2 linked regions of the Nothobranchius furzeri genome follow. The protein of the gene in region 1 purifies or fractionates together with the protein of each later gene. This does not show direct contact. Links are inferred from orthologs where the notes say so. Each region holds a gene or a part of one and is shown on either strand. Other genes may lie near its edges.

The links.
Region 2: the proteins of espl1 (region 1) and ccnb1 purify together in Homo sapiens (affinity purification with western blotting; 5 studies listed by BioGRID and IntAct, with this or other methods). This does not show direct contact. The link is inferred for Nothobranchius furzeri from reciprocal best matches to the Homo sapiens genes ESPL1 and CCNB1.

The regions. Positions count from the first base shown.
Region 1 is NC_091743.1:50,208,037-50,212,317, reverse strand, and holds the start of espl1 (separin), read left to right. Parts: upstream 1-1,174; 5' UTR 1,175-1,287; intron 1,288-1,421; 5' UTR 1,422-1,441; coding exon 1,442-1,522; intron 1,523-1,682; coding exon 1,683-1,985; intron 1,986-2,072; coding exon 2,073-2,822; intron 2,823-2,908; coding exon 2,909-3,010; intron 3,011-3,127; coding exon 3,128-3,239; intron 3,240-3,327; coding exon 3,328-3,455; intron 3,456-3,614; coding exon 3,615-3,808; intron 3,809-3,881; coding exon 3,882-4,124; intron 4,125-4,243; coding exon 4,244-4,281. UniProt on the Homo sapiens protein: Caspase-like protease, which plays a central role in the chromosome segregation by cleaving the SCC1/RAD21 subunit of the cohesin complex at the onset of anaphase. During most of the cell cycle, it is inactivated by different mechanisms.
Region 2 is NC_091746.1:73,742,541-73,746,907, forward strand, and holds the start of ccnb1 (G2/mitotic-specific cyclin-B1), read right to left. Parts: upstream 2,848-4,367; 5' UTR 2,736-2,847; coding exon 2,715-2,735; intron 2,493-2,714; coding exon 2,364-2,492; intron 1,846-2,363; coding exon 1,735-1,845; intron 1,652-1,734; coding exon 1,304-1,651; intron 1,215-1,303; coding exon 978-1,214; intron 908-977; coding exon 767-907; intron 148-766; coding exon 37-147; intron 1-36. UniProt on the Homo sapiens protein: Essential for the control of the cell cycle at the G2/M (mitosis) transition.

The sequences.
Region 1 (4,281 bases):
AGAGTTTATAAAGAGGTTAGCGAGATCCAGCTTTTATTTTGGTAACCAACTTCCGCTTATTGGTAAGCAAATTTGCATATTAGCAAAATGTTTAAGTACCAGCTAAATATTTATTTTCCACGATGTTATTTAGCTCCACACTATATTTTATATTTTTGGGTCAGACTTAAATATTTACTTCCCAAATACTGATTTTGCAAAGTATATGTTTTGCTCTAAAATAAATATTTAGCTGGGATCTAAATATTTTTTTCAGAAAATAAATATTTAATTTACAAATCAAATATTTAATTTACAAATTAATTATTTAGTTCCAAAATAAATATTTAATTAGGAAATTAAATATTTAATTAGTGAATTCAATATTTATTTTACAAACTAAATATTTAGCTTAGACCTAAATATTTGGTTTGCAAAATAAATATTTAACTATAAATTAAATATTTAGTTTGCTAACTAAATATTTATTTGGAAACTTTAACATTTATAAATGTATGAATAACATGGTGAAAATATGACTTTGAAAAAGTGAACTCCCAATTTTTTTTCTTATAATATGCTAAATAACCAAAAATATTGCTGTTAGATTATGACTGTTTGACTTTACAAATGGCACCCCATAAGTAACTATGCTGGGAGAAGAGATTCTGTGGTGATGTCACACTTGCTAGAGTGTAGTTGTAATACAAAATTTTACAAGCTAATAAACCTTAACCCCCAGAGACCCAAATTTAGAAAACAACTGCAAAATCTTTTTTAACCTTTCACATGTTGTTACAGGAGGCCAGATAAACGGGCCTATTTACACATTTTAACAGCCAATAGTGTTGCAGAACTGAACAATAGGACCTATTGGCAATGTAAATGTGGTTTTAAAAAGAAAAAAAATGGGGAAGGTTTATTTTTGTAGACTTAAATCTGATGTTGTAATATTACAACCGTGGGTCTCTGGGGGTTAAAGTGCATAACAGACATAGCCAAAACACACATATTTGCCTTTCATTTAAAGTAGAACATATGTGCGATCATGCAGGGCATAAGCCCGCTTTGTTCTGGGGACCAGACCGGAAGCAGACCAACGCAGGATTCTTAAAAACTCCGACACCCATAATCCTTTGCGTCTCCTTGGAACCTGAATGGCTCAGGTCTGATTGGTTACTTTTCATTCAAAAACAGCGCGCGCGTTGCATTCGGGTAATAGTGCACGGATTTATCTTTAATGTTTGGCAGTACTTGGCTTTAAAGGAGTTAGTATGAACAGCAAGTGTCTTGTTTTCATGTTGTAGGGTGAGTAACCTAACGGTTCATAAGAATTCCAGCTGATGGCTTTAGCAAGTTTAACTGTTAGCCTAAAGCAGCGCATTTGGTCGGCGTTCCGCTAAGATTAGCCTCCCATTTAACCTGCTCTACTTTTTCTACAGTGTCTGCTACATACGTCAACATGAAGTGTTTGAAAGTGGACGAATACATCAAGCGGACCGCTTCTGTTAAAGAGACGGAGCTTTTATACCAGGAATTGGAGGTTAGCTTGTTTTTAGCAACACTACTCTAGTCCTTTTTAAAAATGCGTACCAGCCCAAGGGCCAGTACTTTGTTTGGCATTCATGGAATTTAAAAACTGTTTACATCTACGTGTATTTTCTTGCATTAGGACGTGAATATGTCTGTTTTACGTTTCTCAGACGCATATCCTGAGTAAACCTGGACTCCAGGGACGCACGCTGTGTGACAGGGTTATCAGAGCCTGTAACCATCACCTTGGAGTTGGATCTTGTCCCCTGGGTCACATCAAGGCCTTAGTGAATCTGGTGGAGCTTTCTCTTCGTGGTTATGATGTTTCTGCAGAGCTCGTGGCTCAGACCAGTCCGTTTTACATGGAAAAGATCATTTTCCATATTGTGAAGAAGCTAAGTTCTCTAGAGGTTCACACTCTTTGTAGCCAAGTGGCAGGGTTGCTTTATAAAAGGCTCTCCACAGCACAGCAGGTATGTATCACCAAACAGTTCTCGCATATGTCAACATCCCTGCTGTGTGGTCTTTGTCAGAGTAACTGTGGTTTGTAATATCTGTAGGCTCAAGATGATTTCCATGTTCTTGTGCGAAGCTGCTTCTCTGTTCTGTGGACTGGACTGTCTGCTTCCAAAGACAAAAAAATACTCAATCCACAGGACAAACTTCATTGCCAGTTTCAAGCTTTGAGCTTCCTGTTGTTGGACACAGAAAAGGCAGTTCCCACCTCTAAAGCTCTGATGTACACATATGATGCCATCACCGAGTTTGAAGATGGATGTGGGACAGTGACACCAGATGATGCTTCTTTTCTCCTCCAGGAAGTGCAGACACTTTTTAACACATGTTTTTCAAGTGTGCAGAATTGTGAACAGGGTACTTTCAGGCAGCCTATGGAAGCATCAAGTTTTTATGTGTTTTCTGAGATGGCGCTGCTCGCTGTGAAGGCCCTCTGTAAGGCAAGCCACCACGGTCTAGCCTCCACCCTCTTGGATGAAACTGAGAAGATGATTTTCGACCGTGTTGGCTCAAAGTGCATGCCTCTGGTGTTGGCCACATGGGGAATAGAGATTCATTCAGCGTTGACGGCCGGTAAAGAGTGCAGCCGAGTCTTGATGGAGTGTGCCAGGGTTTTGAGGTCTCTCTCAGCTGACCTGGGTAAAGGGGAGGGTCAGGCAGCTCTTGAAGGTGGTAATCTAGTGATATGGGCTGTTGAAAGTGGACACAGTAAAGGATTAAGTGGACCAGAACTTCTGGCGCTGTTTTCATTCCTTGAGGAGTATCAAGAATGGATAATGAAAATGCAAAAAAAGGTTAGTGGGACACTTTGGACAGTGAAACGTTTTTATCTAAAAAATAATAATAAAACCTCGCATGTATATATATTTTTTCTTCCCAGAGTTTGATGTGCCAGGCTGAGAGCAGCAGGCTGCAGCAGGTCCTTTGTGTCAGTATTTACCAAGGATTCCTATTTGCTTATGAGAGCATGCTTGCATCACAGGTGAGAACACATTTACACTTTCATGATGATGGTAAGTTAAGCATGGCCCCGGTGCAGCATAATGTTGAATTTTAGACTTGGATTTTAGTAATGATGCTGATTGTTTCTGGGTCCTAGCTGGAGGACAGGGACACGCTGGACAGAGTCCTCCTCTACTGCCAGTCCACGGCTGGGCTACTGATGACAGAACTTCACAAGGCGCCCAATGAAAACCTTTTGAACAAAACCGGTGACTGAAATGAATCCTAACATAAATGTTTCTTCATCATTACTGAATGCAGGTATTTATTTATTGTACACACTGTTGTGCCTCGTAGTGACTGCTGTGAGCAACGTGGCTTGTGGTCTTTACAACCGGCGTCTGTATGAGCAGGCCTTCTCTCTGGTGGAAATCCTTTGCAGAAGTTTATGCAAGAATCATCCTGTCTCACTTACTGCTGATAGAGTAAGTCGATCCAACTGATACTTATCCTGATCGAAATGTTGTTTTCTAATTAGTTCCTGCAGCTGAAGGTGTTTTGTTTCTGTTAGGTTGGTTTAAAACTGGTGTTTCTGAGCTTTTTGATGGTTTGTAGCTAATATTATTTATATCGTGACCACCCAGCTGAGTCGACCATTCATGCTGGCCGTGCAAACCTCGCGACGAGCCGAAGCGCTGGATCGAGCCCTGAAGTGGGTGATCCTGTGGCTGAAAGCCCTTGGAGACCAGGTGATGGCTCACATGGCTGAACCGGTCTCTCTGTGGGTTAAAACAAAAAGTGATGCTGCCCGTAATGATGATGAGGACATAAGACTCAGGTACAGAGAAGAACTATTTAGTGGCTTTGTTTTTGTTTGTGTTTTGCTTAAAATCCGTCGTTTCCTGAAACAGGACATTACGGGATGGTTTTGGTCCTGACGTTCCTGAAGAGAAATTCATGCTTTGCCTTTTGGAAGAAGAGTTGCGTGCGTATAAGGAGTTGGCGAGAGACACGACCCAAGAGCGCTACAACACTTTGTGTGACCTGTTGGACATCTGCCACGCAGAGAGTTCCCACACTCATCTACGGGCTGTCTACCTCTGTGAAATGGCCCAAGTGGTCTGTTTTCAGGACTTCAGGGAGCAAACTGACTGGTGACTCCATTTATTTAATGATTATGACGATTCTAACTCTACTGTCTAAGGGGTGTATTTGAAAGGTTTACACCCTCAGATGAACACTTTTGCTGTTTATTTTGTTTCTGTTTAAACAGCATGGCCGTTGATTTTACCCATGAAGCTTTGCGGCTTC
Region 2 (4,367 bases), on another chromosome or scaffold:
GCTGGGCACACCTGGTTCAAGTGCTAAAAAGCTTACCACATGCTTGGTCAGCCCGTCCGTCACCTTGACAACGTTCTTGGCGATGTGCCCCATAACAGGAATCAAACTCTCTGCCGAGTAGTCCATGTAGTGCTGCAGCGTCACATCCTGAACAAAGACGTCACACCTCAACCTTCAGGTCATTTAGCCAGTTGGTGACCGAGTTAAGGAGCGGCGTACTTGGGACTGATGAGCTAACTGCTAGTCAAAGGTCAACATCCACTGAATGAATCTGACATTTATGCCTAAACTACATTAAGCAGATAGTGGTGGAAATAGTTATATTAAAGAGCAAGTCACCCCCTACCAGGGTATTACTCCGCTCACACTTCCTGTTTTAAAAAAATGCAACTAATGCTGTTACCTAGCAGACCGAGAGGGCCACACACACACGACATTGTGACATCTCATGGTACCAGCTAACATTCTAGGTAGCCAATAGCGGTGGCAGATTTAAATTCAAATGCAGCGCAGAGTTTTTACCCGACGACGGCACAACACTGACAGTTTTAGGCAGAAATTTTAACTAAAATGCACTAAAGTGCAAAACTGTTGACTACATGCGTCTGCAGCACGATTAGACACGCATTTATATAGTTTATCAGAAAAAACAGTTGATTTGGGGGTGACTTGCTCTTTAATGTTCGTTGCATCAGTCGGAGTAGCCATTAGCCTGTGATGAACCCATTTTAGTAACACAGGAGTATTTTAAAAATCGCATACAAACCCATTCGCCTGCTTCCAGGACCTTCAAGGTGAACGCCAGAGCAGCACTGGCCACCATAGAAGGAGGGAAATGAACCATCTCGTAGTCCATCATGGTGAGCTCCAGGACGTATTTGGCTAGAGTGTGCTGCTCCGCCGTTACCTGTGGACCAAAGGCAGAAGTCAGCAGACAAGTCACTGAAGATCAGCTGGACTTTAGCCTCGACACAAACCTCATAGATCTTTGAGGCCCTTCTGAGGAACTGCAGGGGAAGTGGTCGGCCAAGCTGAAACTTCAGCTCTCTCAGAATGGTCATCTCCATGTCCCGGATCTGAGCAGTGGTGTAGGCCCGGTCCGTCACATAGGCAAAGTCCGAGATCTCCGGAGGATACATTTCCTCATATTTGGAGGCAAGGAACATGGCGGTCACGCCCACTAGCTGCAGCTGCTTCTTGGGGACTGGATGGTCCTGTTGGAGACGCAGGAACGTGCACATTTAACACCTTTAATCTCTACACGTGGATACGTCTACCCACCGACGACGAGCGTGGGAATTACCTGAAGAAAGCGATCGATTATTCCAACGGTCATGTACATGGTCTCCTGCAGCAGACGGAACTTGAGGCTCACTTGCACCAGCCAGTCGATGAGGATGGCCCTCATATTCCCGGTAACCTCCTGACCCTGTAGGTAAGTGGGCCTGACGTTCTGCTCAACCTCCAGCTGACGGAGATACTTGTAGATGTCCTTCACATATTCACTGCAGAGCATGGGATTGTCATAGTCGTCCGCATCCACGTCCCTGACAGCGGTGTGGAGCAGGACGTCTGAAAACGCCTGGCAGAGATCAGCGGGTTTGCAGCTAGACGTCTCCATCGGAGTGGGCGAGGTGGGTTCAGGCGGCACCTGGAGCAGAGGAAGTTCAACACGTTTTACAGGTGCGTCAGCGCATGGATCGAATCAGGATTTAAACTAATCAGATGACTCACCTGAACTTCAGGCTCAGGGTCAGCAGCAATGACGACCGGAGGCTTGGGCTGTTCCACCTTTACCGCTTTAGGTACAACTTCAGGCTTCTTTGCAGCATCGATCTTGACATTCTAAATCCAAATATGGTCGTTGAAGCCCCCATGGAGAAATTAAATCACCTGGTGCTTCACTAGAGTTAAACTGAAGATTATACAGTCTTGACAAGTTTACGCAGGTACGCTAAACAGATCCGATTACCCACTTTAAAGTAAGCATCCCTAGTGAGGCAGCCAGGCTGCATCCAGGTGAGTCACCAAGGCTAGGGCGGGGCTTTAAGAAGGTGACATGTCCAATGCAAGAGTACCTTCTAGGTGGATGTGTGCATGAAAATGGCTTCTTCCAGGCACCGGGGCTCTGCAGCGCCCCCTACTTGAACGTGTTATTATGGGATTAAAAAAAACCTTTACCTGTCCACCACTTTATTTAAATAGCACGTTAACAGCAGCATGTCTGCTAGCATGTGCTCTACATGTTAGCAGCGCTTTAAAAGAAAATGACTTCATCACATCGAGTCTAAAGTAGACGCATGAAGTTCTCACGTGTGAATATTATTAATACCATAAAAACTCGAGTATTTAAAACTTCTCACCTTTTTCTGAACCTCTTTGTTCAGCGGGACGTTTCCGATCTCACCAAGCGCGCCTCGAGGCTTCTGCTTGGGCCCGTTCATGCAGGCCTTCCCTCCTCCGAGCTCGGTTCTGGTAGAACCGAGCCGAGTCTGCAGAGAAACAAAAGAGTCCTTTAGCCGCTGCTGCATGTCGTTCATCTATAAACACAAAATCCGCTTCAGGTTTGACTCTGAACTCTCAGCAGGACAGTGCCTGAACTGGTGAGGTACACCGAAGCACGGAAGCATTTTAAACGCTAATACTAATCATTCGACATGTTTCTAGGCGTGTTTACGCGGATAAAGAGCTGTAAGACCCGACTAAAGACTCACTCTGGTCACTCGAAGAGCCATTTTCAAGTCTGCGTGGTTCCGACAAGCAGTGAAAGAGTCGTAATGCCGAGCGAACGAGTTCAGCTAAAGACTCGCTGTCTTCGTTTAAATCCTCGTGCGCTGCAAGCTGATTCGCTGCGCTTTGACTTCTCCGAGCATCTGATTGGTCCATCAGGCAGGCAATGAATGCGTTTCCTAGACAACGTACGATCACGTGACATCCTCGTATTTCCTTTTCCTGTTGCGTCTTGCTATTTTCTCTGTTTTCTCCTGCTCGTTAGTCAGTGAAACCTCGATATAAATATAAATAACAGATCAGTATGTGTCAGTTTATAATTAGACCGCCATACACATTCATTAGCTTTTTATCAGCCTCTTAATTAGTTTATTCAGATTTGCTACTCACTTGTAGGTGTTTTTGAAACCACATGCTGTTTAAAAGTAAATGATTGTTCGGGGAGTGAAAACCAGTGCTTCCAGTTTGGCTCGTGCCTCTCATGTCTGAAATAAACCACAGCTGTTGATAAAATAGTAAAACTTGGGACTAAAAGATGCTTTCAAACAATGCACAAACATTTCGAAATACAAAATCACGATAAAATATTTTTGTTTTATGAGCAAACGTAAAAGTGAACATATGAATTTATTTTACTGAGAAAAATGTGTAGAATATTGCACACTTAATGGTTTAGAGAGTGTTTAGAAAATCGCAAAATAGACTTCTATGTGAAAATAGTAGAAACCTTGTAGCTTGCTCGTGTATTTGTGAACTTTTACAGAAATATGTACAGAAATGTCTGCGGACCCACATGGAGAGTCGTGATTAACGTTGGACGATGACAGGTGAGTTCCTGAGCCTGAATGTGCTGCACCATGGACGTCACTAGGATTGAGATATGGGGGGGCTTAGCCCCAGGAGCTTGACCTTGAACGTTTTTTGTCACACCCTGCAAAAACTTTGTCAATTAATTCATTATATGAAGAACATTTAACAAAACCTATTATTTCATCACTTTCTTTTCCTTTCCTACCTTTGTGCATTTTCTCTCTTCTTTTTATAAAAATAACACTTAATCAGTTAATTAGTGGGGTCTATGTTGAAGAAAGATTTTATGTAAGTCCATTAAAAATTAGATATGTTATATTTCCAAATAAAGCTATTCATTTCAGTCTACTGCACTTAACAGGGGGAAATGTTGTAGTCATTTATTTAATTTGTTGAATTACAACTTGTTTAATTATAACTGTTACTGAAATGTGACAATAAAGAACAAATGAATAATTGTCAAACTTTTATTCTGCCAAATGAGTGTGCAGTTGACAATTTTAATATATGAATAACACTGCTATGATATGGAATAAAGGAGTGTGTAATTAACTATTACAAGACAAAATAACAGTATATTAAGAGCCCACCCCATAATCGAAGGATTGCAGATTCTAGCCCTGTCTGTTGGTGTTGTTGTTTCCTTGGACAAGACACTTAACCCGTTTTGCCTGCAGGTGGTGGTCGGAGGGACCAATGGCACCTGTATACGGCAGCCTCGCCTCTGTTCGTGAGCCCCGGGGCAGTTGTGGCAACATCGTGGCCAGGGGTGGACTGGGACCAAAATTTGGCCCTGGCATTTTTATGAACCGTCGGCCCTCGGTAGG